Drosophila melanogaster: one gene and its partners. The protein of the gene in region 1 interacts with the protein of each later gene in a pairwise test. Each region holds a gene or a part of one and is shown in the gene's direction. Other genes may lie near its edges. The genes, in order: Sema2a, CG14089, CG3014 and gudu.

The links.
Region 2: the proteins of Sema2a (region 1) and CG14089 interact in a two-hybrid assay, tested with the Drosophila melanogaster proteins (one large-scale study listed by BioGRID).
Region 3: the proteins of Sema2a (region 1) and CG3014 interact in a two-hybrid assay, tested with the Drosophila melanogaster proteins (one large-scale study listed by BioGRID).
Region 4: the proteins of Sema2a (region 1) and gudu interact in a two-hybrid assay, tested with the Drosophila melanogaster proteins (one large-scale study listed by BioGRID).

Annotation. Positions count from the first base shown.
Region 1 is NT_033778.4:16,512,789-16,520,445, forward strand, and holds the start of Sema2a (semaphorin 2a), read left to right. Parts: upstream 1-3,361; 5' UTR 3,362-3,482; intron 3,483-3,665; exon of another isoform or gene 3,666-3,745; intron 3,746-4,131; exon of another isoform or gene 4,132-4,230; 5' UTR 4,231-4,387; coding exon 4,388-4,553; intron 4,554-7,657. UniProt on the Drosophila melanogaster protein: Ligand for transmembrane receptor PlexB. Plays a role in growth cone guidance. Required for both proper adult behavior and survival. Can function as a selective target-derived signal that inhibits the formation of specific synaptic terminal arbors.
Region 2 is NT_037436.4:19,278,356-19,284,379, reverse strand, and holds CG14089 (uncharacterized protein), read left to right. Parts: upstream 1-3,579; coding exon 3,580-4,254; 3' UTR 4,255-4,260; downstream 4,261-6,024. Other genes in the region: Gbs-76A (glycogen binding subunit 76A), read left to right, coding at 1-1,157; CG14086 (uncharacterized protein), read right to left, coding at 4,556-4,682, 4,747-4,995, 5,266-5,340, 5,391-5,451.
Region 3 is NT_033777.3:7,797,570-7,806,284, reverse strand, and holds CG3014 (uncharacterized protein), read left to right. Parts: upstream 1-3,491; 5' UTR 3,492-4,255; coding exon 4,256-4,367; intron 4,368-4,431; coding exon 4,432-4,757; intron 4,758-4,947; coding exon 4,948-5,596; intron 5,597-6,299; coding exon 6,300-6,679; 3' UTR 6,680-7,021; downstream 7,022-8,715. Other genes in the region: CG2993 (uncharacterized protein), read left to right, coding at 647-780; CG18268 (uncharacterized protein), read left to right, coding at 2,009-2,126, 2,237-3,004, 3,065-3,255; CG18744 (uncharacterized protein), read left to right, coding at 7,538-7,649, 7,946-8,715.
Region 4 is NT_033779.5:7,384,962-7,392,491, forward strand, and holds gudu (gudu), read left to right. Parts: upstream 1-3,546; 5' UTR 3,547-3,714; coding exon 3,715-4,331; intron 4,332-4,413; coding exon 4,414-5,665; intron 5,666-5,726; coding exon 5,727-5,867; 3' UTR 5,868-5,941; downstream 5,942-7,530. Other genes in the region: CG5149 (uncharacterized protein), read right to left, coding at 1-30, 89-179, 299-405, 470-843, 906-1,221, 1,463-1,687, 3,014-3,142; CG5160 (uncharacterized protein), read right to left, coding at 6,114-6,542, 6,685-6,837, 6,900-7,058, 7,115-7,251, 7,313-7,421. UniProt on the Drosophila melanogaster protein: Important for spermatogenesis where it may have a role in sperm individualization.

The DNA of each region.
Region 1 (7,657 bases):
GAAGGTAGGTGATCTGATCTGTGGGATCTACGCTTAAGTTCAGTCAATCTAATCGTGGTCGCATTATAGTGCTTGTTTAAGAACCATCTATGCTGCAGCAGAATTTTTTGAAAACATTGTTTCAACATATATGTATTATTTCAATATATATTACTTCAATATATATATTATGAATTATAAATGTTTGATACGCCTTATCGCTACTTCCAAGTTCTGACTTACCGTAGGTCTCAAGCATCTCAAAGATACAAAGTCTGCGACTTGTAGATACATTTGAGCTCAAGAGGGGTAAAAGGAAAAGCTTGTCCGCCATCGTTAAGGTGACGTCATAATGTCTGCAATACAAATACATGCAATTATGTTTTGTGTGCGATAACTTGTCATTATGCAAAATATGCTGCATTATTTATAGCATAAACACAGGCGCTGACATTGCATGTCAGGCCAAAGTTGAATCCGAATGGCGTAAAAAGGCAAAAAAAAACTGCAGAGCTTGGCCCAAAGGCACAAAAAACACACCGAGTGCAGAGTCGTTGTAAACAAACGAGTGGAGGCACAACAATGTGCAACACAATTGCTGCCGCACTTAAAATTAATTGAACTTGAAACAAGTGCAGCCGCAGCCGCAGCGCCAACTCATGAGAAATTCTGTGGTCGAGCCAAAAGGCAAAAACTTTTAGCCCACACACATACACACACACACGCACACCATCACGCCTCACACTTGCAGAAAGCTTTCATTAGTTCTGGCCGGCCAAGTTTTCCTCGTAGTTTACTTTTTCTGGTCAAGTTCCAACGGCAAACTTAATATTTAGTGCCATTTGCTTGCTCTGACAGTTTCCAGAAGTCAAATCGTTCTTGTTCTTGTTCGTCGCCGATGCCGCTGCCTTTGTACAGTCAACACACGGTAACAGGAATCTGTTTGCTTTTTTGACAAGAGCACCTTGATAGATGCAACAACTTGGAAAGTTAATAAAAGGAGTATCTCAATGCTAAAAACAAAATAAAGTTCTTAGCTGTAAATATATCTGTGAATTGGTTCTATTTTTTAGGACATATGAGCATATTCATTAGATTTATAAAACCAAGTACAGAAGTCCCAAGCACGGAAAAATATAATTTTTAGCCGAAAATAAAGCTATATCCTTGCGTTTTAAATGTTTTATAATTTCAGTTGAGCCAAATCTTCTATAGGCTTATTTCACTGCAGTTGTTGTTGCTGCTCTTGTTGGTCAGTCCAGTTTTTATTTTTCTTTTGGCTTTTTGGCTTTCTGCGCGAACAAGTTGGTAGGAAGAAAGTGCATTGAAATCTTTGTAAGTATCTTGAGTAAGCCAACTTGGGACGACAACAACACAACAAAGGACAAGCAGCAGAACAACAAATAACAAAACAGGACATTCACAACAAATGGTTTTTATCGCTTTCTCAAGCTGTGTATGTGTGTGCGTGTGTGTGTCTGTCAGTGTGTTGGTGTGGTTCGCTGCTGGTTATTTGGCCAACTTTTTATATAATGCATGAAAGTTGCCGGCCGCTGACAAGTTGAGCGACCAACAATGTTTGGCGAGACAAGTTCCATGTATTATTTGGCACAATCAAAATGCTATTTAGGCTCTCTCCCAATTTATTAAGTAATAAATTGCATCACAAAATAATAAGCAAAACGAATGCTAGTTTTTATGTTTATATGAAGGGTGGTTGATTGGCAACTATTTCATTTTACTTGAATTTCTCTTTTCGTCCCTTAAATTGTTGCATGACTTCTTATGGAATGACGTGTACTTTTTAGATTTGAAATTATTATTTAATTGACCGCAACTAAAGGATTCCGAGATGAAGAAAGCGAAAGAACTAAACAAAACACATCCCATCTTTTTCCCACACATACATACGTGTGCGAGTATGTGCTACGTGTGAGTGCGTTGTGCCTTTGTTTGTGTACGTGTTGGGGCATACGCGCTGTGCAAAGTGCGCTAAATTAAGCTGTCATTAAGGACTTAATTAAAGTCCTTTGTTGAAAGTTGACATTGTGTGAAAGAAACGTTTGCGAAAACAAATGACAATGGCGACGTTGTCGCTGCTGCACTTGAAAGGCTATCCCCCGAAAAAGGGAAAAAAACCCAAAAATGGCAACCAACATCAAAGCAACTACAAAGCGGCAACAACAATGCGGGCTAGAACGAGAGTGAGTGTGAGAGAGGGAGAGGCAATGAAATAGAGGGATAGAGTGAGTGAACATGTGTCAAAAATTTTCAACAGTATCATGATGCAAGTGCTCCTTTGGTCGCACGGTCGGGTGCGAGGGGGACGACTAGTGTGGTGATTCTGCGAAAACTCATTAGCAGGCAAACAGAGAGAAAAGGCCAGGCAGACACAATCAACCAGTGGCGTGCGCAAGGATTTCTTGTGGGGGTTAGCCAATGATTGCGATCAAAATTATTAAATTTTAGTTGGAAACGTTTGCACTATATTATAAGTTTCTTACCTTTTTTTTCTTTGATGGTCACGTACCACCTGAGCTGATCAGTGCCTCAAACAATCATCATTAACATCTCAGCTGAATAATTGAATAAACTACAGCCCCTACGCCACTGATGGAAACGAAAGCACGCACAGGTGGCACCCGTACAATAGAAAATATCAAGGAGATGCGAAAACATAACCGACTTGCTTTTTAATTAAATATTTTGCCAAGCAGACACTCAAATGCCAGAGACACTAGCAAACTGCGTTTAATTGCCGCTCGAGGCTGCTAAATGCAAGGATTCGTCTGCATACCTGCCATCCATCCATCCATCCTGCCGCCCGTTTTGTGTGTGTCTGGGTTGGCAAATGTTTGCCTATTGCCAAAATTGTCGTTGTCCTTGTTGTCCTTGCTAAAAATCACTTTGCCGCTTCCGCACGGTGAAGTACGAAAATTGAATACCGCCATTCTGCAACGGCATTTTGTGGCAAGGAGCAAGGATTATATCGACAAATGAAAATCCACGACGCTCCACGAATATTAAACAAAGTTTTGTGTCAACAGTTTTTACCTTTTCTTAAGAATAATTTAAGAAATAGTTAAAATCGGCTTGAATACGTCAAAGAAAATATTATATTATATATTAACTAACTTAAAAAGCAAGCGCATTGTAAACAGACAAAAATAAGAAAGCATATTTCAAAGTTAGCCAAAATAAAATCTAAAACTTCTGATATAAAGAGAAAAAGTTATGCAAATTATATATATTTTAAATATTATTTTCAAACACGATCACCATTGTTGGTATATACCAAAAACCCAAACGCGTGACTGCGATAGTCATTCGACTTAAACGCGCTAGCGTTTTTCTCACATCTGCGCGATCGGAGCGATCGTGCGTTGTTGTTGTTTTCTCACTTCTACTTGTTGTCGGTTGTTCTTTTGTGTTTGGTGTTTCCGCTCGAGATTCTTGGGCATTTTACCAGTGTTCCCTTTCGTGGCGGAACTTGTTTCGCATCGGTAAAATATCTGAAATGCATTAGGCTTGCAACTATCTAATTGGCGTTTTGCAGTTCATTCAATTCGGAGTTCGATTTTCGAAATTCCAATAAACCGAAACTCCCAACAACAACTCAAGTGTGTATCTCTGGCTTTGTTGTTGCGTATGTGTGTGTGTGTGAGTGCGTGAGCAAGTTTGTGTGCGTGTGGGTTAAAGGCAAATTTTAAACTGAAAGCAAGGAAATATTTGCAGATTCATCATTTATTTATTGATGCAGTGCCTTGTAAATAGTATAAACTTTAAGAAACGCGCTCGTTCACCTTCCTTGTCTCTTTCCCACTCTCCAGCGTTGAGGAATTTTCATTGTTTCCCAATATTGTTGCTTTTTTTTTTGTTTTTCCGATGCGTGGGCATATAATAAACCAGTTTAACGTTTCCTTTTGCCTTTATCTTCATATCGCACATGCTTTCCGATGGCTAAATGCGTTGAAATCGAATTGAAAACCGAATTGAACACAGAACTGTGTAAAATGCATTACGCCTTTATGCGCCTGCAACGCATACATAATTAATCCGAAACGAAATTGGCACTACGACTGCGGGTCCAAAAAAAAAACATATATATATAAGGAGAAAAAAATAGCAGAGGGGTGCTATAAATCGCCCAAGGAAAGAAGTTTATTTTAAAATCCATTTGCCAGTGAAATCAATTCCATTGCAATTGCCGCAAAAGTGTGTAAAAATAATACAAGTTAAATGTGTTAACAGTTATTCGTGGGAAAAAACGTGCCGGTTTTTATTCATCAAACGGTAAAATCAACAAGCAACCGCCTCTCGCTCGCTCTTGCACTTTAATCCAATTGAGGTTGGTGGGGTCGCATTCGGCCCCCGGTCGACCACCCCTCTCGCTCGCACCGCCCTCGCAATGTCGCTTCTACAGCTATCGCCGCTCCTCGCACTCCTGCTACTCCTCTGCAGTAGTGTGAGCGAGACAGCTGCGGACTACGAGAACACCTGGAACTTCTACTACGAGCGTCCCTGTTGCACTGGAAACGATCAGGGGAACAACAATTACGGGAAACACGGCGCAGGTAACTAGCCAACTAACGGTATAAAAAGGGGCGGGAACACGGATTAAAACACACTTGTAAAATAAATTTTCACTTTTTGTGCCCTTTTTTCGAGGGGCTTTAAAAATTAAAAAAAATGTTAACAAAATCTTTTACTAGTTCACATTTCTTCGTAAAAACTATGTGAAATGTATGTTAATGTTCGTTACACTTAAAACTTAAGAATGAAAACATTATTTAAAACGCTATTTTACAACTTGATCATAACTTAAGTATGTATGAAAAAAATGAATTAAAATTGTTTCGCATTACTTATATTTTGTACAGGGTACTTAAATCGTCGGCTTACACGAATAAGACAGCTTTTTCCCCTTTTTTAACTGCGGCCAATATTATTTTTCAATCTTTCAGGCAACAACAAATTTGTAATTTATTTGCCATAATATTCGCACATGTTCTTTGTGCCTTTATTATTTATCTCGTTTGGTTCGATTTCAATTGCAACTATATTTTTTCGTTTCGGTTTGGGCCATTTTCCATTTCTGGCTCGGAGCATTGTGATTGTTGTTGTTTTTTATAATTTGCATATTAATGCGGTGCATTCATAGTGAATATTGCTGGTCCGCGCAATTGTGAATTGTTGCTATTCATATGCATATTTCATGTTTAAACAAATACCAATAATGTAATCATATTTTAACCATATGCAGTCCTATAATCCACAGAGATAAATCCTGAATGATATATAATTGACTGGGTTCCCTTAATCCCCCCCTCCCCTACCACTCTAGAAAAATGTGAATGCTTTACCATTTAAATGTTCAATCTACCTAGATTTTCCGCTGTATTTTTTTACAAGCCCTCTGTTTCGTAGACTTGGCCAGCTTTATTGAGTCATTAAAGCCTAAAAGTATTTAAAATTCATCTACGAGCGGCCACAAACAGGTTATTCACTTCTCTATGTCTAAGCCATGTTGGATTTTGCCAATAATTTTGGCCAGCATTCATTTATCATCGTGCGGTTGATTGAAAAGTTCCCCAGCATACATTGAATGTGGCTAGAGAACAGCAAAAAGCCATCAAGTATCAAGAACGCAGAAAATGTTGTATAAAAAATTTAAATCTCATTTAGCCAGGCTGGCCAAACAACAACAACAACAACAGCAATCCGGGTCAAGACCAGTAAACATTTTCTAATAGTCCACGTTCCGGAATGCCTGGCATGCCGTCCCCCTTGTCTCCACTATATCTTTAACTATAAGCCATAAGTGCAGCATAAAACTTCACGTGCCGACAACAACTTTTTGGTCCTTGCCGCATGTTGCGCTGTAAACTCAATAGCTAAGCACTTGCCCTAAAGGAAAACGTGAGACGATTAGGGAATCGTTCAAGCTGCTTGCGCATACTTTTCCGGGAGTTATATAGCAAAATCTATATGGGATAAGTCCGAAATGCATGCAGAAGGAGCTACAAAGTTCGAAGGTTGGACATTTGCACCAGATGCACTATATAAACCGATCGGCGGGCCATAAATTAAGGTAAAACCAACTAAACCACAAAAGCCACCGAACTGAATAACAACAAAACTCTAAAATGTCAACTATAAATTCCCCCGTTGATGCGGAATATTTATTGCATGTTTTTTTTTATCTTCTTCTTCTTTTACCCGTCTGTAAATGAAAAAGCACTATTTTCATTGATTTAAATGAAATTAATTGCACTTTATTTTAGGGTAGTACAAAATTTATGCCTCTCTATGGCATTTGTGAGTACCAATGCGGCCGCAACGTCCTCTGTCGCCACCTCGGCCACTTCAATTGGTTGACTCAGCGGTTTGACAGATGTTTCCACCACTCTGTACCCTAAAATTCTATTTTTATCTGCCGGATAGCTCTTCCCCTTTGTTTTCTCTCACAAAAGATACAAAGATACACGCACAAGGTGCTGCGACTTCATTATTAAGGCCAAACCCCTGATTATTGACTCATTTTTTGACCGGCAGGTAGCCAAAGGTTGAATTGTTTCTGTAGTCATAAAAAAAGGAAGGAAAAATAGAAACTAACTAATAGATTCACACAATCCATAGCACTTAATGGTATTTAATGCATTTACATCCAACTAACTAACTAATATAGTGCTTACAAGCTTGTAGATACTGGAAACTCTTAAGCATACCAATACGTTAAATGGTTTTCTATAAGCTTAAAACACATACATATCAAATTTGCAAAGCCAGAGGAGTAATGAACTCATTTGCTCTAAACTTCATCTAGCAAAAAGTGCAGCAAATAAAACTGAGCAACGCAACATGGCCAAGTGAGACAGTTTAGAATTATAGCAGTCATTTCTTATTTATTTTCAACTCTCTTGGTATATAGTTTTTATTGCCACAAATGGTGGATGAAGCTTGGGATTAATGGCTTCCGCGTTGTCTGATTTCTGGCCAAATGCAACAGCTTTAAGAGCTTCGCACTCGCTCGTGGTCTTTGTCAAACTGTATAGGCACACACTGCTGACCCATTAAAACGACAAAAGCGATAAAGGGATAGCCGAGTTCTTGCCCCCGGCTTTTATATTTCCTTCTTCTGGGTTTATTTTTTTTTTTGTATTTTTAGAGCCAGTAGCTGGGGTGGGGCTTCAGCTGTGCGTTCCACTTCATCATGACGGCAATGTCAAAAGCTGTTCACATAGCGGGTCGAATGGAGACCACCCCTTTCCTGTTGAGCCGGGCGGATGGCTGGCTGTTGGGTTGTTGGGTTGTTGGGTGGGGATTTACCTGGCTTTGAGCCGGGATTCTAGTCAAGCACTGGGGAACCACCCAAAGCATGTCAGCACGGAGCAACGTGGAGCTGCTCACAATGGAAACTTTGCCGCGAAATTGAATTTCAATGCAATACAGTGCAGTGCTGTGCAGTGCAGTGCCGTTCCCGACACCTCCAGTTGCAAGTGGGGCTTAATATTGCTTCCCTGCGAAGCTACAAGCGGCGGCGGCAACATCATTAAAAGTGTGTTTAAAGCGGACCCTTTTGGCCAAGTTTTAGTTGGCCAGCGAACGAACGGAAGGAAAATCACGTTTCGCCTTGGACAAGTTTGCCAAGTCCACTTGGAGAAAGGGGCATTCTCGA
Region 2 (6,024 bases), on another chromosome or scaffold:
GAGTTCAAAAAGAAAGCTCCCAGGAAAGGGTTCCAGAAGGAACTCCATTCGAAGGAGTCCAAGGAGAATCTCCTAGCGACAGAGTCCAGACGGACGCGTCCGATGAAAGGGTTCAAGAGGAAATTTCCAACGATACAGTTCAAGTGGAATCCAACCACAAATCCGCCACAGAATCAATTTCCACCGAGGTAACCACGTTGGAAAGATCACCAGAGGAAAGCAGGAATGATGAACTCTCGCCAGACAGTGGTGTGGATGAAACAGACAAGTCGGCCAGTAATCTCACCGTAGATGTGGACCTGGCCCAAATCGAACAGGCCAAACAGGATGCCACTGAGGCTGTGGAAAAGAGTGGTGCCCCCAGTCGGGGTACCACAGTCGATACCACAGATGATGAAGACGATTGTAGACCACAGCGCATCAGGCGTTGTTCCTCCCTGAAAACGGGAAAGACACCACCCGGAACTCCGGGTCGCAAGAAGATCGTTAGGTTTGCCGACGTCCTTGGCTTGGATCTGGCCGATGTAAAGACCTTCCTGGACGAGATACCCACCATACCGAAATCGGCGTTCGAGGACCTGGAAATACTGGAGTCGGAGCCGCCACTTCAGCTGGGGCCCAAGTCCGACAAGCTATTGATGCCTCTGTTCCAGCAGCCAGGAGGCCTGCCCAAGTTCCTCGATGCGGTCCGGGAGAAGCAGGTGTCCCTGGAGAACGCTGCCGTGACGGACAACATCAACCAGACGATATCCGGATCTGTGCGTGTGCGCAATCTGGACTTTCACAAGTCGGTGCACATAAGGTACTCGCTGGACGGATGGAGAAGCTACGCCGACCTGCAGGCAAACTACGTGGAGAACTCTTGCGATGGCTTCTCCGACATCTTCACCTTCGTGCTGTTCGGTAACTCGCTGCACGTGGGCCAGAGGCTGGAGTTCGCCGTAAGGTTCCAGTGCAAAGGCCAACAGTTCTGGGACAACAACTACGGGGCCAACTACTGCTTCCAGTGTTTGCCCAGCTCGACACATACCGCCGGCGGCTCCACGGCATCGCCTCCGTCTGTGGCGACTGGCGCCGTATCCACCGGCCATAGTGCCAGTCTGGTCGGATTGCTAAGCCCCACGGCGGGCGATGCCTGGTGCAGCTCCTTCTACTAACCGGTGGCGATGGGCCCGCACTAAAGGCACTAGCATCCCGTCTAGAATCCAACACCCTCTCCCATGCCCAATCCAACGACACGACACCAAGATCTGGGAAAGTTTCCGGGCCTTGACGTGGTGTCTATGTCCCAGTAAGAAATCAAATCCAAGCAGTCCCATATGACCGCCCAGTCAGAGATCACAGATCAGAATACCAACCTTCGTGGGGCTAACTCTTCATTGGGGTGATTGGATTTTTTGTTAGAAAATCCACAAGGAACTAAGTATTTTTTTGGCAATTCTTAACGTAACGTATCAACACAACTGGAACTAATTTGGAATGAAATTTTCAGTCAAAGGCAGATTAAGTTTTGATATTTTGGAACTTAAGAGCTGTTATTAACAACAAGAACTATTGTACGAAATGTCAAGAAATTACATAACTCCCACAAGAATATTTCAGTCCCTGCACGTCGATAAATCGAACCACCCTAGCCTTCCAAGGACGGCAAACATTGTTTATATATTTTTATAGAATGAATGGAAAAGATTGAAGGGTTAGTGAAGGGCAAGAGGAGCTGTAAGAGCGCCACAAAAAAACTAAAGAATCAAACCAGAGTAGTGCGAACTAGAACAAAAGCCAGCAAGGTTCGAATGAATCCCAAAGATAGTTGTTAGTCGTATGTTATAAGAAGAGCAAGTGATAACAAACTAAAACTCAGATCAGTTTCTTCAATGTCTTCTTCTGTTTTTAGTTACTTTTCCCAATTTTTATTTGGTTTGTTCCTAGGTTTGTTTGTCATGCGAAAGCGATTGCCAGTTGGATCGGGCTATTAAGATTGTGTATCTGCCAGATAATGTATCATGATGATTTAAATGAATCAGTTTTGTGAAAAGATTAATTGCCATTAATCACAGTTCTGAATATGAGCTTAGCACCATTTTAATACTTTTTGTTCGGTAAAAGCAGATCCGTTCGAGCACAGAGACCATGTCAAAAGTTAACTATAACTAACCACCATCCACTATCTAGTCAACTCGAGTTTACTTTTGCTACCTTTTGACTATTCGCAGTCAAAAAGGATATTCTCCAATCCGATGATATTTGTAGCCCGATCGGAAAAACCCCTTTTAGCCATCAGACACAGCAGACAAGCCTTAACTTTTGTTTCTCTTAATTGTTGATATTCTTCTAATGTTTGATTTTTTATATGCTTTAATTTTAATTTAAACGATTTGAATATTTTCTATGTATATGTTGATGCGTAATATATCTATCGTAATATTATATAAATATATATACAAAATAAAATAAACATAAACTTTAGTTATTCCTTTTCGGTTGATTCTTTCAATTATCTATGTATTGTCTGAATAATAATGAATACAATTTGAGCTCTTCTTATCCACAACAGAACCTTAAATAGCCTATATCAGGGATATAAACAAGCGAATAGCTACTTATAACAATTAATTGCAAACGCAGCTACCTCAACGTTTTCCGACCGAAAACACGAATAAGAGAGAATAATAGTTAAACAAAGTAAATTTATAATTAAAGAAACTATTTAATATGTTTATTGCATAGCAAACATGTGTAAAACAAAAGCAAAACAACAAATAAAACGAACTTTAAAAGTTACAACTATTTACATACATATGTTAACAAAAACAGAAACTTCTCGAACATAACTAATGTCCACAAATCCAAATGACTTAGACTGAAGCGTGAGTATGCAAAAAGTGTTATGAGATCTGCCCAAAAACCAGAAATTTGTTGAGGTTTATGTGGGCGGGGCTCTTGTCATCATGAGTTCCACTTTACACTTACAAAAGAATAATAAAGAAGCCACAGTTAAATAAAATTGCGAACAGACATTCTTAGCATGTCTCGAAAGTGTTTTCTTTTGTGCTTCACAGGGACGGACAGGTGGTATCTCAGGTGTTAGCAAATTACACATTAGTTATTCAAAATGGTTAATGTTTCCGTTTAAATGTAAAAATCATCATCTCGGTCACCACCAGTCATTGCTCTGGTTCCATATGAAATTTGTGTAAAAGTTTATGTTATTTTTACGCGCAGAAATGATATACATATACCTGTTAATTGATCTATCCTAGAATACGAGAATTCACTTTTCATGGCTCGATCACAAAGTCCGACATCCATTTGGTGTGAAAGTTCTTTCATCAGCCCAAAAACTCAACTCATTCATTGAATATTATGCAAATCAGATACTTTATAAATAAATGGCTTGGTTTATTAAACAAGAGAAATTAGCATACGATACAAATATAATGCGATCGTAAGACAAGACATATAGATCTCAAATGAGCTATCTTAACGGGAGTTTGAATGATTCTCCTCTGTTGCCATTTTTCAAACGCATTTATCCACATAAAAGAAGTGACTGCGATCTGATTTTCGTTAGTTCACAGCATGTCGTCGAATCTGGAAGTTCTCTCTGCGAACTGGACTATTCTGCTGGTGGCACTACTGTCTGTTCTTGGGGGAGTTTTCGCCAAGGATGATGCCTCAGTGCCCCGGCTGATCACCCTCCAAACTGGAAGTCCCGCTCCAGCCCCGCCACAGGAAGTGATCATAGAGGAGGATCACGATCATCAACATTATCATCCGCCACACTATCCGCCAAGCTATTCGTATCCGTATCCTCAGCCACAGCCATGCGGTTGTCCGCCCGGTCCTCCAGGTCCACCTGGTCCACCGGGACAGCCGGGGCAGAAGGGCTATCCCGGCCCCAAAGGATCCAAGGGTGATCCCGGCGAGAAGGGGCCGCGTGGAGATAAGGGCCACCCCGGGATGCCTGGAATCCCTGGCCAACCTGGTCCTCAGGGTCCTCCTGGATATCCCGGAGGTTCATATCCACCGTATCCGTATCCTCCACCTCCTCCTCCTCCATCACATGGACATGGAGGCCCTAAAGGCCACCAGAGGCACTACTATAACTACTATGATGAGGACGAGTATGATTACGGCAATGAGCGTTCTTTTGGTCTGAGAAAAACCGAAGAATTCGACGACCAGCCCTTCATTTTGGCCTTTAGTGAACGCAGAAATCCGTTTAGCACAAAAAACAATAAAAGACGAAATTAAAATAACATTATTTAAAACGAAATAGCTTTGATAATTATTTCTGTAGGTAAAAAGCAGATACCCAATACTTAAAAGGAACTTTCAAAATTCTTTTGAAGAATGTCCTTTTTGACTTTTGAGTGGCTTCGTTTATAAATGACACCAAAAATCATACAAAGTGTGGGTTTATCGATTACCTATAAAAATATACCACGCACTCAGCGTTTAAATCGAAACCTCTTTACAAACTGTATATTATTAGACATTTGTTAAGTCGTTTAAAATCTCACATTACATTAGGCAGAAAAGCTGGCTTAAACTATTAGCAAACATCGTCGTCTAGGGCGGTGTGGTCGTCGCCCTCCTCCTCCGCTTCCTCATCCAATCCCGCTTGCGTGGCACCAATCTCCGCGAAATCATCCTCCATGGTATCCACAAAGCTCGACACCCTATCATCGCAGAACAAACAGACATTAGAAACAAATAACAAAGACATTCGTTGGCTGGCATCACTTTTCAAAGTCGCACTGCGGCAGGAGACCCTCCTCCTTCGAGGCGCTGAATCGGAGCAGCGTGCACAGTCTGAGGAGTCCGAGGAGTATCAGGAACATCCCGGCCACATAACTCAGCCACAGATTGTGGGGATACAGGATCAGGCAGATGCCGATGACCGCATAAACAGGAGTGGGTCGCCAACCGCCACAAATCGCTGAAAGTCGCCAGCAGGCCAAGCAGCTGCAGGACCTTCGCTGGTAATTATCCCTGAAACAAATTGAATTCACAAATATGTGAACAGAGAAAAATTTGCAGAGAAAAATCTGAGCAAAGGCACTTGATATAGAGTATTGTATATAATAGTAAAGTATATCATATTATAGTATAATTAGGGTTTAATTAGTTTTACAACTACTAGGCTTGGTAACTAGAATTTCTATATTTCATAAATAATAACTGCTAATTATCAAATAATATATATACGAATAACTATAATTTATGAACATGTTATTTGGTAATCTTGAATAGTTTTCTTACTCTGCGCACTGAAGTTGCAGGAAGATAGTCACAAGCCACTTGATCTCGATAAACATTACCAGCACGGCTGAAAAACTAACCAGAAATTAGTATAGTTATGGGGGATATTTAGATCCGTGACTTACACTATATAAAGACCGGCCCGATAGCCATGCATGTAGACATCAACGCCAACGCCGCAGATAACTGAAATGAAAAATGGCTAAAGAAAGGTTCGGTGCGGGGGGTCCTTTTTGGCGGGTTGAAACGAGGAGTGTTATCCTTGAACGAGCCTATAAAATAATGTGAGTGTGTCTAGGCAAATATATTTATAAGCATATTTATTGAGCTGGGCCTTTTTTGTTTACCATGCTTTGGCCATAAAATGTAATACAAAACCAATGAATGGAAACGAGGTGAGCTCAAGAAGTTTATCGCAATTTTACTGAAGCTTACATCATTTGCAATAGAGTATTTTAAGAAGGCAATGTCCTACACATTACGAAATAACATAATGATAATTAATAATAAATAGCTTGGAAGAAACTTCAATATTCATGACGAACTTAAATTTTATAACTTAAAAGGTTTCTATATTTTTGTCGAACAGCCCTCCGCAGGGCATTCATATTCTAACCACATTATGGTTCCGCTTCACATTTTGTCTTAGCCAAATCCACTTTGAGTGTATAAGATATGGTTAGATGTGGTTATGGAGCCACCACGCCCAGTGGTCCATAAAAATACAATCTAATTAAGTTGTTTTTATTATGCCGGGTC
Region 3 (8,715 bases), on another chromosome or scaffold:
TTTTGAAATCCAAAGAAAAAAACGTTGGAGTCGTAAAGTTTATTGTTGTCCTTGATCCGAGTGTCTGTTAAGCCTATCTCATTTAAAATGAATCTCATTACTTAGTTGTCAATATCATTTTAATACATTACACTTTATTCCTATTATATAAAATTGTGTATCTAAAATAATTGCACGTTTTATTCCATTACCCTTTTATATATATAAGTATACAAGATATTTTTACCAACTTAAATTAATAAAAATTGTTTTTGATTCTTAATATATATATTTTATACATTACCTTCCATAAAAACATATATTTGTTTTTTATTGTATCTAAAACGATGAACATGTATGCGCCTGAACCAAAATCATTATTAATATTAAATTATATCGAGCCGTTTTCTTCTTCTTTATTATGGCGTCTTTTAATGTTTAAGTCAAAAACATTTATCGAATACCAATTAAGAACGTTTTATAGATTTTTAAAGCTTATCTTAACTTTTTCTACTTTCCTAATATGCATTTCTCTGTTAATCCGAGCAGAAATAATTTCAAAATGTGCTTAACTTGTAAATTTATTCTCTTGTTACCGCCCCGAAACATGCTACATTTTGTACCGTCCATTCACGATCCCCTTTCCTTCGAAACCCGAAAACCGTAGAGACGCTCTACGATGAGTCCAGTTCCCGGCTGCGTCTTACACTCAGCTGCCAGGACTCGGCGGCACCGGAAACGGATGAGGATTTGGCCCCGAACACAAGAGGAGGAGAGCCCCCTTCTTGCGAAAAGAAATGAGATGTCTTTGGACTAAGCGATACGGAAAGAGCTGCATCAAATGTAAACCAATAAGCCAATAAGCGATAACACTTACATATTTAATCGAAATCAAAATACTATAGAATGGAAAATGAAACCCAGTGTGCTAACATGTAGTAGAACTTAAGTCTGGGCGCAATTTAAATTGAAGGTGGCAAATCGAGCCATTTTTTATAGAGCCAAAGCAGAATGGGATATATTTTGGAGAAGAAAGCTATTTAGGCCAAAATGAATTTGATTTATTTAACTATTTTATCCTCCCTTTCTTCTATAGTCCCTATATTTACATTTAAATTTTCTCTCTTCTCATTCTCGTTTTCCCCTTTTTAACTAACCTTATACAATTATTTTTTAAGTATTGCTAATTGTAAGCAGATTGATACTTGATACAGTGGTCGCTGGCTAAATGTATGTGAACAATGTAGTGAGAAGTTAGATGAAATCATTTAGCTCGTAATTTTAACAAAATCTGCACAATTTTACCAAACGGAGAGGGGAAATTAAGCGCGAAACTAACATTTTCCAATATTGAATATTGTATTGACTTTTTCTGTGTATCTATGAGAAATTTACAAGCAAAGATTAGCCAAATTGTGTTTAGTTTTTTATTATTTAAAATCATCACATCATCATAATCTTTAGGTGTCTAAATGAGATATTGTCGAACTAATTATATATATACAAGTGTCTCTTGCTCTAGTTTCTATACAAATTAGATTGTGTTGTCTCACTATATACTTTGTACTTCCTCTTATTTAAGCGCCAGTCTAACCAAAAATCATATAAGTCTATTTCTAAGTCTTAACTGTCTTCAATTCGATTTAATCCGATTCAATAAAGCAAAACAAGCAAAATATATTACGTATACCACAAAAGCTGTAGACACATTTACATCCTGTACACGGTATAATCAGCAAAAAATCTGAGTCGGCTTAGCTGGACCATAAAGCTAAATTTATATATTGTTATCGCTGCGGCCAAAACAGACTTCGGGCCAAATTAGCAGTAAAACAGCAGCCATTTCTCATTCAGACGACTCGTGTGGAAACAGTTTTTCAGACTTCCAACGGCTTCGGATGAAACCTCAAGTTGTCACAGTCACTTGTTTGCCGTTCGTTGGCGAGGTCACAACTAGAGTCTCAGTCGCGTGAATGCGAATTTTCAGAAAAGCACACATATATAAAAAAGCCACTCCAAACCACTGAAAATGCCAATAAATTGCGAATTTAACTTATCGCGTGCCGCTGCCATTTATTACAACGGCGAGCAAATTTCGGGATCACTCACTGTGACAGTCGACGGGAAAAAAAGTTTCAAATTAGAGGGTAAGATGCCATTAGGCAAATGAGTTGGTTTAGTGATTAGATAGGGGAGAGTGCTGCAAATAGATGGGCAATCTGATATGCTGATCGTGTTGTTGTTCCCCATTCGGCAGGCGTAAGTGTCACTCTCCACGGAGTCTCGACGGTCCACTGGCGGGAGTCACTTCGAGGTCCGCCGGAAATCGAACACAATGATAGCACCGGAAACCTGGAGTGCCCCAAAGTGGATTACAACGGCAGCAAGGTGCACATAAATGAAACGAAAAAGTTAAACGAAGTACTTCAGCTAGAGAATGGTACCTTTCGATTGGGTGACTTCAATTTTCAGCTGCCTGAAAATCTGCCAGCCACCTGTAGACTTCCTTTCGGCAATGTGGAGTATGTGCTCAAGGTTGTTCTCGAAAGACGGGGAACACATAACAAATGCTTTCAGCAGCGATTGGTGATACGAAAGTGTGTGGAACTCGCCGATCTCAAGCCCCAATATATGGAGACTGCGAACATGGGACTTACATTGCCGCGAAGTGTTTTTGTTCCGGGTCAAAGTGTAAGCTATGAAATCTGTTCCAAAGATGGAGTCCAGGACTTCCTTACGCGCTTGTGTAAAAAAATCAGCTACACTAGTCAGCAACCAAGTGCCAAAACCAAGAATGTGACACAAGTGTTGTCCGAGAGTTCGGAACTTAATGGCAATCTTCGCCTGCCTCTGACAGCCCCTATTATGAGTCACTCAGATCAGCTGGACCCTATACAAATCAGTTATTACATTGAGACATTCAACTCCTTGAATGCCCCAATCAAAGTACCCATTTTCGTGGCCACTGTTGCACCCCCCGTGAATTCCCAAACGGAATCGTCGCAACTTTGCTTCGTTAATATGGGTAAGTCCATACGCTGCCCATTAAAAGGGGCAACCAGTAATTAACTATTGTCTTCTTTAGCTCTTAGCCAGAGTGAGCTGCTGGGGCCAATTAATCAGTTTCTGGCCAACAGCTGTTCTCGGGAAATCGACGCCTTGGCGCTGAGCAAACATTGTGAACGTGAACGCATCAAGTTGCTAAAAGGCCCGAAGAGAAAAAAGTCGTACGTGCATTTAGCTTTGCAATACTTTTATAAGAAAGTACTAACCTGACACACGTGCAGAGTCTGGAATTTCAGTGCCAAGATATTGAGAATTGTAGAATTCACAATAATTGAACTTGAAATGCGATAAAGGAAAGTAAGCCAAGCAAATAACTGGATTCGATTATCGACTATTACCGACTATCAACGTACACAAAACGAAATTCTTATTTTTATTCTTCCCAATAAACTTGGGTTACGTATAGTACTAGCTAAAAATATATTTTTAAATATGCAAATATATTTCTATGTGAATTTGCCATTTTATGCAGTCCCTTTTCCCCAGGCAAATGGCTCGCTCTCATTATCGCAATTATGCATGCCAGATTAATGGAGTGAGTGCCCAAATAATTTCGAGGTCCTAATTGTGCCACGTTATGCGGCAGCAAAGTGGCCAAGGGGTTACACAGCCAACACCCCGAAAACAAATTGCTTGTTGTGACGCACTGTTCGGTTTTGTTGACATTCTTTCGGCCGTTGTATCGGCGGTTGATATATGGTAATAACAAAAATGTACCCCAGTATATGGTGGATATTGGCTCCTGACCTCGCCAGCATCCGCCCCCTTGGCGTTCGTCCACCATTTCAGCCGCCACATAAGCGAGCGAGTGAGCGAGTGAGTGAGTGTGTGTGTGTGTGTATGTGCGTGTGTGTTGGCCGCAGCGAAACAAAGGAAACCGAAAGGACCCACGGCCAAAAGCTGCTCCATTTCCGAACGATTCGCGCTGCAATATTAGACCAGAAGCAGACAGTAGACGGCTACACAGACGCAAGGCGCCAGCTTATTGATTCGCCCGCCCCCGAAACTCCGCTCCCCGGAAAGCGAAAGCCCGATGGCGTCGGATGCTGACAAAGAACTCGCCGTTCAGAACTCAGTGCGCGTCTGGCTGTGTGGAAGTTGGGTTGCGGTTGTTCGGTGCTCCGTCTCCAGAAGCCCAGCCACGGATATAGTAGTGATGAACTGGCAGTGAAGATTCGGTTAACTCGAGCCGGAAGCAAGTGCAGCAGCCATGCCCACCACCTGTGTCTTTCAGCTGGATCGCCTGAATCCGGTTTACAACAGTGGGGAGTACATCAGTGGTCGCATTTTGCTGCGTACGGACAAGGTGAAGCGAGTCAATGGTGGGTTCAAAGTACTCCTAAGTTCCTATCCCCCTGGGAAGACTACAATTTCCCAAATCCCCAGCCGTATATGTGACTCTGGAGGGCGAGGCCAAGGTTCAGTGGTCGATGAGCGGCAAGAGCGAGACGGCCAACTACTCGGGCCATCAGCAATATTTACACTCACGCACCAATGTGTTCGATAACACCCTCTTCCGGGCCGGAGTCCACGTATACGTCCTCACCCTCAGGATTCCGCCGGACTGTCCCAGTACCTGCAAGGGTCCGTACGGCTATATAGCCTACACTATCTCGCTGACCATCGACAAGCCCTGGGGCTTCGACGAGGTGTTCCGGAAGCCCATCATCGTGGTGCAGACCCTGGATCTCAACTACAATGCAGAGTTTTCAGTAAGTAATTCTACTGTGGTGTAATTGTAGGCAATGAGTTTTGCTTTTTAAGTCGTGCTTTAATGAATAAATTATTAATTTGCAATCAATTTTGGCATACAATGTCATGCTTTAAAGGAAAACTATATAAAGAATTTAAGATATGCTTAAATCACAGTCCAATCATTTAATAATACTTACCCCAAACTAGCTACCTGTCAAGGACGAGAATCTGAAGTATCTCTGCCATTGGCCCTGCATTTCGGGACCCATCTGCTCCACCTTGACCTTGCCCGCCTCCGGATTCACGCCCCTTCAGGAGGTACCCTACAGGCTGGAGGTGGACAACCAGTCGCCACACTACGACATCATCGGCGTGGAGGTGTCCATCAAGCAGCACTTCGTCTTCCTGTCGCGAAAGCCCGTGAAGCGGAACTTCTACTCCAAGACACTGGTCAAGGAGCTGATCTCGGACCGCACCCTGCGCCTGTCCAAGCGGCAGTACGAGTCCAGCATCTGTGTGCCCATGGACACTCCCCGATCCACCCTGAACCCCAACTACATCGTCTTTCTGCACTACACGCTGCAGGTAAAGCTGAAGACGGGTTACTTCCACTACGACACGGACCTCTCAGTGCCCATCATCGTGGGCACCACCTCTTTGCAACACCTCAGGGACTCGGTTCACACCCAGCAGCCTGTGCGGAGGACGCCCACGCCAGAGAGACAGCGCCTGATCGAGCGGGTAACTCCCCGACCGCCAACAGTGGAGGAGGATTCCGCCGGAGAGGCAGATCCGGCTACCGATGAGCCGCACAGGGTGATCGAAGACGACGAGCCACCATCTTACGACAGTTGCCGTAAGTTTTGTTTGTTCTAACTTGCAATTTAAGCAAATGATCGTATTCATTAGAGTAGTTTAAAAAAAAATCTAACATGTTATAAAATATTATTTATAGCACGACACATTTCATTTCACCTAGGATTTGGTTATATGTTGCTTTAAACTTCAATTGTAAGTTTCTGTAACAGTTGCTTAGGATAGACTTTAAATTCATTGATTTTAATTTTCTCATTGTATAGAAATAGTAATACCCATCGATTAAATTATTTCTTTTTGAGAGATGCAGTTCTATTCGTTTTTCTCGACTATCACATTCCCGTTACAGTTCAACATTTTGTTGTGATATCGACACAAATTGTATAGTAAAATTATATCACTTACAGTTCCTGAAGTTTTAAAAAATGTTAGACGGAAAAAACTGCCAAATCAAATCACATGTTGCATATTTATTTTTTTAAAACTCCATAAAATCATCTAAGGAGTATACATATTTGTTTTTCATGCATGTAATGTTAGCTGAATTTTGAATACAAATTTACAAAATTTAATTGGTTAATCGCTTGGTTAATTTCACTATTATAGTAAGGTAATAGTAATAGTACAGTATAGTAAGGTAAAATATAAGGTAGTTCATTTAATGCAACAATGGCAAGGAAAATCCTTCAAGTCCCTAACATTGTTATAAAACTTAAATAGCTTATCAACACTTCCATTCGCAGTTCCGCCCTCCTTCAGTTTTGCTACCCTGGCAGGAAGTCAGCAAACATTAGGGAGTAACGCCGCAGTGGTCCTGCAGCGGATCCACTTGCCCAAGTTTCCTGGATTTTCCACACTCATTGGGACAGCTCCTGCTCACGGAATGGAGGACTCTGGCCTGGACATGCACATGTACAGGTCGTACGGATCGCTTAACACGGATCACACAGGTCGGAGTCTGGACACTTTCGGATCCCTCTGTGGTCCACTGTCCGAACATGTCGAGGAGCAGGAGCAGGAGGCAGAAGAGAACCTGGATGTGACTGCCCAGGTGCATCGGCCGATTCAACGGGCAACGGTTTCGGAGGTCGAGAACGTCCTACAGGACGAGCACCTGTTCTAATGGAAAAGTGTCTTATATACGTATTGCCAACCCCAGTAACAAGTAACATAAGTGTTCAAGACTAAGGCTTATAAAGGATTTTTAGGCCGGGTCCTAGTACGTCGTCTAGTTTTAGTGAGCTTTCATTGCGCAAATTTGTACACTCGCGTACCATCCAAAATTGATCGAATCGAACTTATTGAGTGCCATAATCTCCTTTTTCTAGTATACCTATAACCGCTTTTATACATCCGTCAAACATTTTCGATTTAAATATGTAATCGACTCGATACATATACTAATTATTGTAAGTACCAATTAATGCGTTCTCAAGTGGACAATAAATAATTGCAGTATACAAACAATCAGTTTGTGAATTGTATTTTGTGTTGCGTGGGGATGGAAAGATATTTAAACGAATTCTTGAAAGTTTAGCGAAATATTTGCTTATTGAGTTAGTGGCTTAAAACGTTTGAATGTGAACCAAAATTATTACGTAGCAAAATTGATGAATGTATTAAAATGAAAGGTCGATAACTTTTTCTTGGCTATTTACAGAGAAATTGTACTCATCACTGGTCTTGCGAGTCCTTGAATCCGTCATATAAACGAAGTTTTCGCACATATGTAGGCTACACCTGCCATCGGATGTAACGTATTTTAATTAAATTACAAATTGTTTGGTACGCGATAGCACTCCTCACCCGGCATAAGATAAGATATAGCTCTGGTGATAATAGCCATGGTAGTGGTACCATTCACACCTAGTATATCCGATAAGGCCGCGTCCAGTCCTGTTCTTAATGGGCGGGCATGTTGTCAACAACTGCCAGACATCGGTTAGCAGTCGAGCCGTCAACAGAGTCCAGAGAGCTGAAAATGAGCCACCGCTGTGAGATCCAATTGGACAACCCACGGGGGGTCTATAGGGCCGGCGATACGGTCAATGGTCACGTCTATCTGACCCTTTCGGAGCGGGCCCTAATCAAAGGTAGGTTGGAGCATGACTCATGGGCTATCCCGTATAACATGGCCATCCAGTGGCGCTGATTCACCGATCGAGATCTGGTTTCTTTTATGGACTTCCAAATTGCTGATAGTGTTTGTCGCACTGAAATCAAATTGCTAATACCTTTCAGTGAGCTTATCAACTACCAGGCAAATTTGATTAGTAACTTTTCATAATCGGAACTTGAAAAATATTTGTGCAAATTAATGTGGTATACTTATAAATTATAATAATCTTCATAAATCGTTAATTCTTTTGGCTTATGCTCTTTATTTCAGCAATATGCCTGGAGGCCAATGGATATGCGAGCACTGCCTGGCAGCAGCCCCAAAAGCACAAGAATCAAAAAAAGAACGAGCAGCCAGTGGTGGTTCAGAGTTTGGACTTTGATTATCGCGTGGATTATTTTGCCAAAATCGATTATTTTGTGGGCTCGGAGGCCGCACAGCCACAGATAATGGAGGCGGGCACCTACAATTACGGTTTCCATGTGAAGCTGCCCAAGAACTGTCCGGGGAATTTCGAGGGGGGCCACGGACACATACGGTACACACTCCAAGTGCTCATCCACAGCAGTGCAGATCGTCCGCTGGAGGTGCTCCATGTACGCCAGCTGCAGATTTTCCCGCAGAACTCTCTGAGCCAGGAGACGCGGAGCTGTGAGATCCAGATCTATGAGCAGACTCCTCGCCTTAGATTCTGGATGAAGCCACTTCATCTGCAGCTCCAGATTCCCAGGCAGGGTTATTCGCCAGGAGCAGGTATTTCTGTTCACTTAAAGCTGCATAACCCGGAGAAATTGACACTTCGCGAGGCGGTGTATTCCCTCGTTCAGATCAGCACTTACGTTGCCCATCTAAAGAATAAGCCCAAACGCTTGGAGACCAAGGTGGAGCGACAAACTGTCCTAAGCAGCCGCCACGAGCTCCACAACCTCCCCCGTGGAGAACTGCAGAATTTTCAGCATCTTCACATGCTGCAAGTGCCACAAACAGCGGCCACATTGACTGTGGCAGGATGTGCCTGCCTGCAGCTCAACTACGAGGTG
Region 4 (7,530 bases), on another chromosome or scaffold:
TTCCAAATTGCCATCCAGCACAGAACGTTTCTATGGGTTAAAGATATGATTATTTATTTAATATAATATTGAGTTTAATTTGACATACGTGACCGTCGCCTTCTTCGTCTTCTTCTTTAACTGGTAAGTCTCCTACGGCCCAAACTTCCATGTTTCGTATTTTGAACTGTTTCCGTTTACTTGGGTACGATAAATAATTGGTAGATTAACCACAATTGTTTAAAATAATGTTGAATTAAAATATAGAATCTAGTGGTCTGTAAGGTGAAACATAATCAAGATTTTAATTTACACTCACCTCAACTGCACGTAGTCTCGATATGTAGTGCAACTTTCAACGCTTTGTCCATCGCCGAAACTGCAGTCAATCCAAAGGCCCCAAAAATCAAACTGACCGCCCATGCCCTGTATACGAAAAATATAAACATTTAGCAAAGCAATCAATCAATTAGCTATAAACATTACTCACCAGGCCATTCGGCATAGTCTGCTGATTCAAATTCAAATACTGATAGTGATTGTTATAAGTTGTGGCCGAAAAGCACCGCATGGCAGGGCTTAAGGTGTAGAGCAATGAGCTGTCATCGCCTCCAAATTGCGGTTTCACGGACCACGTTTCGGACGCGTAGCCGCCAAATATATATTGATCCTCGTCCTCAATAAAGAACAGCGTTGGTCCTTTGTCCAGCACTTTTCCCAACATCGTCGAGAAGCTTTCCCCGTTGATTTTCGATGAGAATAGAAAGCGCCATTTGTGCCGATGTTCGCGGGGCAGCTGAGCATTGATATACAGGACGTGAGGTAGTTCGATGATAGGGCGATAATGACTATTTTGCGGAGCATCTGGAAAATAGGAAAAAAGTTATAAACGATTTTAATAAATTTAAAAATTTTCTTTGTCCTACCACACAGTGCTGGCAGAATTGGAATTTCCATTTCCTTGATTATGTTGCGTTTGCTGCCACCATGGCGACAATACAGCTGGCTAAAGACCTCGCGCCAAATCTGCAAAAACTGCGGAGTGACGTGTAACCAACGTTCCAGGGCATCGTTGGGCATAGTGTGCTCTAGCTCCTTGCCCAGATTTCTCATAAGGCCCTTGGCAAATGTGGCGGCGGACCTTTCCGTGGTGTTAAAGCCAAGATCGTGCCACTCCTTGATGCCAGAGTTTTTCGCTGTACTTTCCAAGTGCACGTAGCTCTTGATCACCGAGTAGATATACTGGGGAATTATAAAATTGATTAATTCGCGAGCAAAAGATAAAAGAATTAAATAAACAAGTTGTTCATATGACAGCTAAGAAAATAAACGTGGAAATCTAGTTTTCAGGATAAACATAAATGGAGAGCTAAACCTAATTCAATAACAAACATGTTATGAATCCTAATGAGGCTCGGCTGACAGAAGTTATAAATATTATTTCCGCGATCTGATGACAATGACTACTTATTTATAGACTCACTTGCTCCAATTGCTTGCTGTTGAAGGTGTCATTTCCACTTCTCTCCATTGAGCCCAGGAGCATTTGCATTTTCTGGTCAATAGTACCGCGTTCCATGATGTAGTAGGGCTCTCCAAATTTCTTCAGCTGAAGGTTGACACATTGCTGACCTGGCTTCGTGGGCGTAAATAGATACTGAGCCGTACTTTCGGCCAGGGATCTTTCGATGGTTTGCGACCAAGTTTCCTATTTTCGAAACAAAACAACAGATACATGTATATGTGTGTACATAAACAAAATGCGCGCCGGATACGTAAACATAATTTTCCCGCTGCTGTCAGCAAATTCTTGCAGGGAACGAAGGTCTGGGAAGCGCTGACACAGATTAACCCATTGAAGGACGTACAATGAATAATAATTTGGTTTGACTGAAAACAAAGTCTCTCAAGTTTTATGAAAATAAATACTACTTCAATGTATGTAAAGTTTCAATTTAGAGAGTTTCCGCTTAAATTACTCTATATGAATGCAAGTCTTATAATTTCCTCATTCTAAAAATCAACTATTTCACATGCCATGCTGTAAACGGGTTAAGCATATGGTTTATTTTTAATTCAATTGGGTTTGGCCCTAATTGACGACCCCAGTCATTGAAATCACGACTAATTCGTTAGCAAGCAAATTCAACAAAGCAAAAGACAAACAGTGAAATGCGGCAGCAAACAAATTAGACAAATTATGGACACGTTCGCACTGGCCCAGGAATTATCAATTCGAAACTGATAACGCCCGAGTTGAAGATATCGAATTTTGCTATACCCTAGGAAGCGCTGTGATAATCAAACACGAGCTATAAATAGATGGAAATATTATAAGGAAAAATCATCATCTGGTTACAAACAAACATTTTTTGAGTGGTTGCATTTCCGTCATCTGTGCTGTGATAAAAATAAAACACAAATCTGGGGCCTTGAACCCGCATCGGAAAAATTATAGCATAAATTGTGTATGATCAGATTGATTTAACTAAATGGGTTAAAATAACAATTTTGGAAAGTTACGTGTACATTTAATCTAAATAGGACTGACTAGTTTAGAAAATTACATTTTTAAACAAGTTGAATAATTTACTTTTTATAAACTCTGTTAAATTTCCTGGTTTGCACTTTAAATCGAAAAAGAACTGTATTAAAATAAGGTTTAGAAACTTTGAACTTTTGTATAATGCCGGATAATGTTGCGACTCACTCTCTTATATAACTAAGCTTCTTTTTCGGAACATAGTACTATGATTAACTTCAATGTTTAATCCTCGAAATAGGAGTTAGTGACAACAACAAATTAATGCCCTAAAGGATATACCCATTCAAGTGAAGGGTGGCCATCGCAGCAGGTGGATGGACGGCCGTTTGTCATGCACTCGAAAGTCCCGATTTCTCTTTTTTTGCCGAAGAAAGTTCACTCCGCGCGTCCTTGAACTTGTGACCCTGACCCTTCCGCAAATGCAGAATGCAGTTGCCATTGATTTTCGCAGTGCACACGTGGCACGGTAACTGGATTTACTTGACTTACCACCAATCTGTCTTGGGTCAACTTCTCAAGTGCTCCGCCAGAGGCGTTTTTGTACGCGGATTCCAGCATGCGTAGCTCTTCCGAATTGTAGAGATTATCCGTCTCCCGCTTGCCACTCGCATTTCCCATCTCAGGACACGAAATTCAGTTGGCTGGTGCTACGACGGCTGGTAAACAAACAATGCAGCTGCAGCTGCGGATGATCGCGGATTTTAATTGAAAATAAAAAACAAACAACACAAGCTGGTGATGGAATGGCAGTCGATTTCCCTGCGATACCCTCGATAGTTTCGGAAACGGGTAAATTTCGCGGTGGTCGTCTGCACTATGAATGGTTATTGTCTGTGCTAAGTCAGGTCGATGTATTTGCTAAACGGTTAATTTTAACCGCTAAGCGAATTCAACGAAGGCCAAGCGAATAAAATAAATTTTAAATGCCTTGGATAGCTGTAGTTAAAAATTTATTAAAATAAAAAAAAACTTACAAGTTTGAGCTAAGATACCTTTGCCCTAGCCCGGTATTTTTGAAATTATCTCAGTTACCTTAGCAACACGCCTTATTAAATCAATTGCCTGGCCTAATAAAGTTCTCCCACACAAAAACACAATAAATTCCGATACAAAACTGAAGAAAGCTGGCATACCGACAGATATTTCCGGAATACGATTGGCCAAATCTGTGAGTAATCCAACGCGAAAGGATGATTGGCACTAGCAGCGGAACGTCCCACAATCGGAGTCGAAAGAAGAAAGAACAGTGCGGATCCTGTCCCAACAGATTCTCAAAGGATAAGCGCCAGGTGGCCGCCGAGGACTCGGATACCACGGAGGTGGAATCGTCTACGGATGAGGAGGAACGCTGGAAGGAAGTGGCGCGAGCCGCTGAGATTCCGGCTGACTATTATAATATCCAAAAACTGGTGAAATACATCAAGGCGGGCAATCAGACAGCCACTATAGTATCGTTGTGCTGCTTGAAGGACTACGATCTGAGCACCCAGATCAATCAGTTCGCCATCTCGGACATCGGCGGACTCGATGTCTTGGTTAACATCCTGGAGTGCAGCGACACCAAGTGCTGTTTGGGCGCCCTCAAAGTTCTCTCAGATATCACACTGAACATCGATATTAGGAAGACCATCGTAGATCTGGATGGCATTCCCCTCATTGTGGACATCCTAAACTCTTCCATGAAGGACCTAAAAACCATGGCCGCCGAGACATTGGCCAATGTGTGCAAGGTGCGACTGGCCAGAAAGTATGTGCGCACCTGCGGAGGAATCCCCAAGCTGGTGGATCTCATCGACATCAAGTTGAGGTGAGTTGGCATTGGATAAAGTGCTTCATACTACATCACCACATATAAGAAATAATTAAAAAAAAACCTAATTATATTATAGCATTCTAAAGACGCCTCGTGACCAATTGAGTCCAGATGATCTGGAATCTCTCGATATGACACGCGCTGGAGCCCGGGCTCTTTTCACTCTGGCCGATTCCAAGCACAACATGGAGCAGATGCGCAAGAGCGGAATTGTTCCTTTGATGGCTCAGCTCCTTAAGTCCTGTCACATCGATGTCGTCATTCCCATAATGGGCACCGTTCGAAAGTGCTCCTCGGAGCCGAAGTTCCAACTGGCCATCACCACCGAGGGCATGATTCCCGACATTGTGAGCCATCTGAGTTCCGAAAATACCGAGCTGAAGATGGAGGGCAGTACAGCGATCTACAAGTGCGCCTTCGACGGAACCACCAGGGATTTGGTGAGGGAGGCTGGGGGCTTGGAACCTTTGGTAACTATCATAAAGGACAAGAATGTGAGGGAAAATAAGCCTTTATTGAGAGGCGCCACTGGAGCGATTTGGATGTGTGCCGTAACCGATGCAAATGTCAAAGTGCTGGATCAACTCAGGACGGTGAACCACCTGGTGGCCTTGCTAAATGATGAGTGTGACGAGGTCCTGACCAACGTGACCGGAGCTATATCTGAATGTGTGAGATTTCAAAGCAATAGGGAGCAACTGCGTCAGGCTGGAGGATTACCAGCAATGGTTTCCCTACTCAACAGTTCTCACGCCCCTCTTCTGGAAAATTTAGCCAAGGGATTGAAGGAGTGTGCCGAAGATCCGGACAGCATGAGAATCCTTGAGGATCTGGATGCGGTCAGGCTGATATGGTCGCTATTGAAGAACCCCACAACTAGGGTTCAGGCCCATGCGGCTTACGCCATATGTCCCTGTGTTCGAAATGCCAACGATTCCGCTGAATTGGTCAGGAGCTTGGTTGGCGCCATGGAACTGGTGGTGGGTCTGCTAAAGTCCAAGGATATCATGGTCTTATCCGCCGTTTGTGCTGCCATTGCAACAATTGCCCAGGATCAAACCAATCTAGCCATCTTAACCGATCTGAAAGTCATCTACAAGCTAGCCGATCTCGTCCAGACCACCGACGACCTCCTTCGAATGAACTTGGCAGCTGCCGTGGCCGCCTGTGCCTGCTTCGGTAATAATACGGAGGAACTGGGACGTCTGCGTACTGTCACTCCGATTGTCACCTACATGACCAGCGACAATCCCTTGGTGCACCGCAGCACGGCCATGGCACTGGAGAAGCTATCGATGGATCCGCAGAACTGCATTACCATGCACCAGGTACATTTCTTCTACCTAATCACACTTAGCAACTCATTTAGATTCTTTTATTTTACTTCAGAGTGGAGTTGTTCCTTTCCTGCTGGAGTGCATTGGATCCACTAACAAGGAGCTCCAGTTGGCCGCCGCTGGTTGTCTGCGCAATATCCGCGAATTGGCCTTGCGTGCCGAGGAATATCTGCTTAAAATCGACGATGACTAGCTTCCTGTTTTTTTTTCTTTGTTAAGTTATTTAATTGTATTTGACGAAATATATGTGTGTATGCCGATGCTACCAATTTCTTGCATTTTTAGCAAATAAATTAATAAGTTAGTAAATTTTTAAACCAGAAATCCCAGAAAAATATGTTTCATTTTCCATGACAATAACATCTAGCTATATAATTATATATTTGTCGCTACATATTTTGACTAACTAAGCTCGACCCACCCTGCATAAAATTCCACTCTAGTAACTGGCATTACTGCCCCTGGTGGAAATGCTCATCCGTCGCTCCACGCGATTCGTGTGTGGCAGCAGGCATCCCGGCGGTGGATACCGCCATCTACGTGGTCGGGACAACAGGGTGCCGTCCGTCGAAGCTCTACTACGGAAGGGAGCATCGATGTCGCTGCGTGAGCTGCTCAAACTGCTACTCGTAATCTCATCCGTAGACTCCGTATGGTCACCGTTGCTCTCCTCCAAACAGGCGCTTCCGATGACCAGAAAGGAATGTCGACCGACGCCCAAAGACGAGGCATCGTAGAAGGAACAGGATCCCGAATCGGGCGTGAGGATTCCATCCGTATTGGCCACATCGCTGGTGGAGCGCTTGAGCTTGGGGAATTTGCTGAAGACTCGCCAGAAGCGAAACACATCGCGAAAAACATTCTGCACCTGGTTGGAATGAGTGAATAAACAAATCGTATATTTATAAGGTGCCATGTGATGGTAAATGGAAGATTAATTTATCAGACAAAAGTTTAATTTCACTTCACCTTAATAAAGAAATCTTTTGTAAGAAAATTTTTCCTCTTACTTGATCCACGCTCTCTCTGACGGAAATCTCGTGAAAACAGGAGCAGGATAACTCCCTGAATCGGCGCTGACCCTCTTCCAAGCTGACCATTCGATCGCCCGGCTGATCTGTCTTATTGCCCACCAGTATGACAGGAATATCCAGTGCGTATTCCTGGAAATATGGTATATAAATAAGCTTCCTATAGGTGGTTCAAAATTAAGTAATTTACTAACTTTACTGGCCGAGCCCAACTTGCGTCTTCGTTTATTGTAATTGATGAGGAACTTTAGGCGACTGCACTCGTCGAAGGAACACTTGTCCGTAATGGAGTACATTAGTATAAATGCGTCGGCCCAGCGGATGTTGGACTCCAGACTAACTCCATCTAGTTCCTACATGAAATGGTCTTTAATGTCTTGCAAAATGAAAAATGCAATTTAAAACCCACTTGTAGCTGACCGGTGGCGTCCAGAATGTCAAACTGAATCTGCTCCTTGTCCAGCGTGGTTTGGCAGGTGTAAATCTTCTCCAGATTAGGATCATACTCGCCAATGAAGCGTCGGGTAATAAAACGCACCACCATGGCTAAATGGGAAAGTCCCTTCAGTTTGGGTTCCCTTTTCTGGGAGTTGGGCGCACAACTCACCCGTTTTTCCCACACCACTTTGGCCCAGGACCATAACCTTCAGAGTCTTTTGTTTATTGGTATGCAGACCCAACTTGACCAGCGATGACTTTGGCGAGGTGGCATTCATGGCAGATAACAGGGGCAATTGTCTGAAAAATATAATAGGAAACTTTAGTAAGTGAGAAGTGGTGAACTTTTTAATAAGACTTACACATACCCATCTTTTAAATCTATTA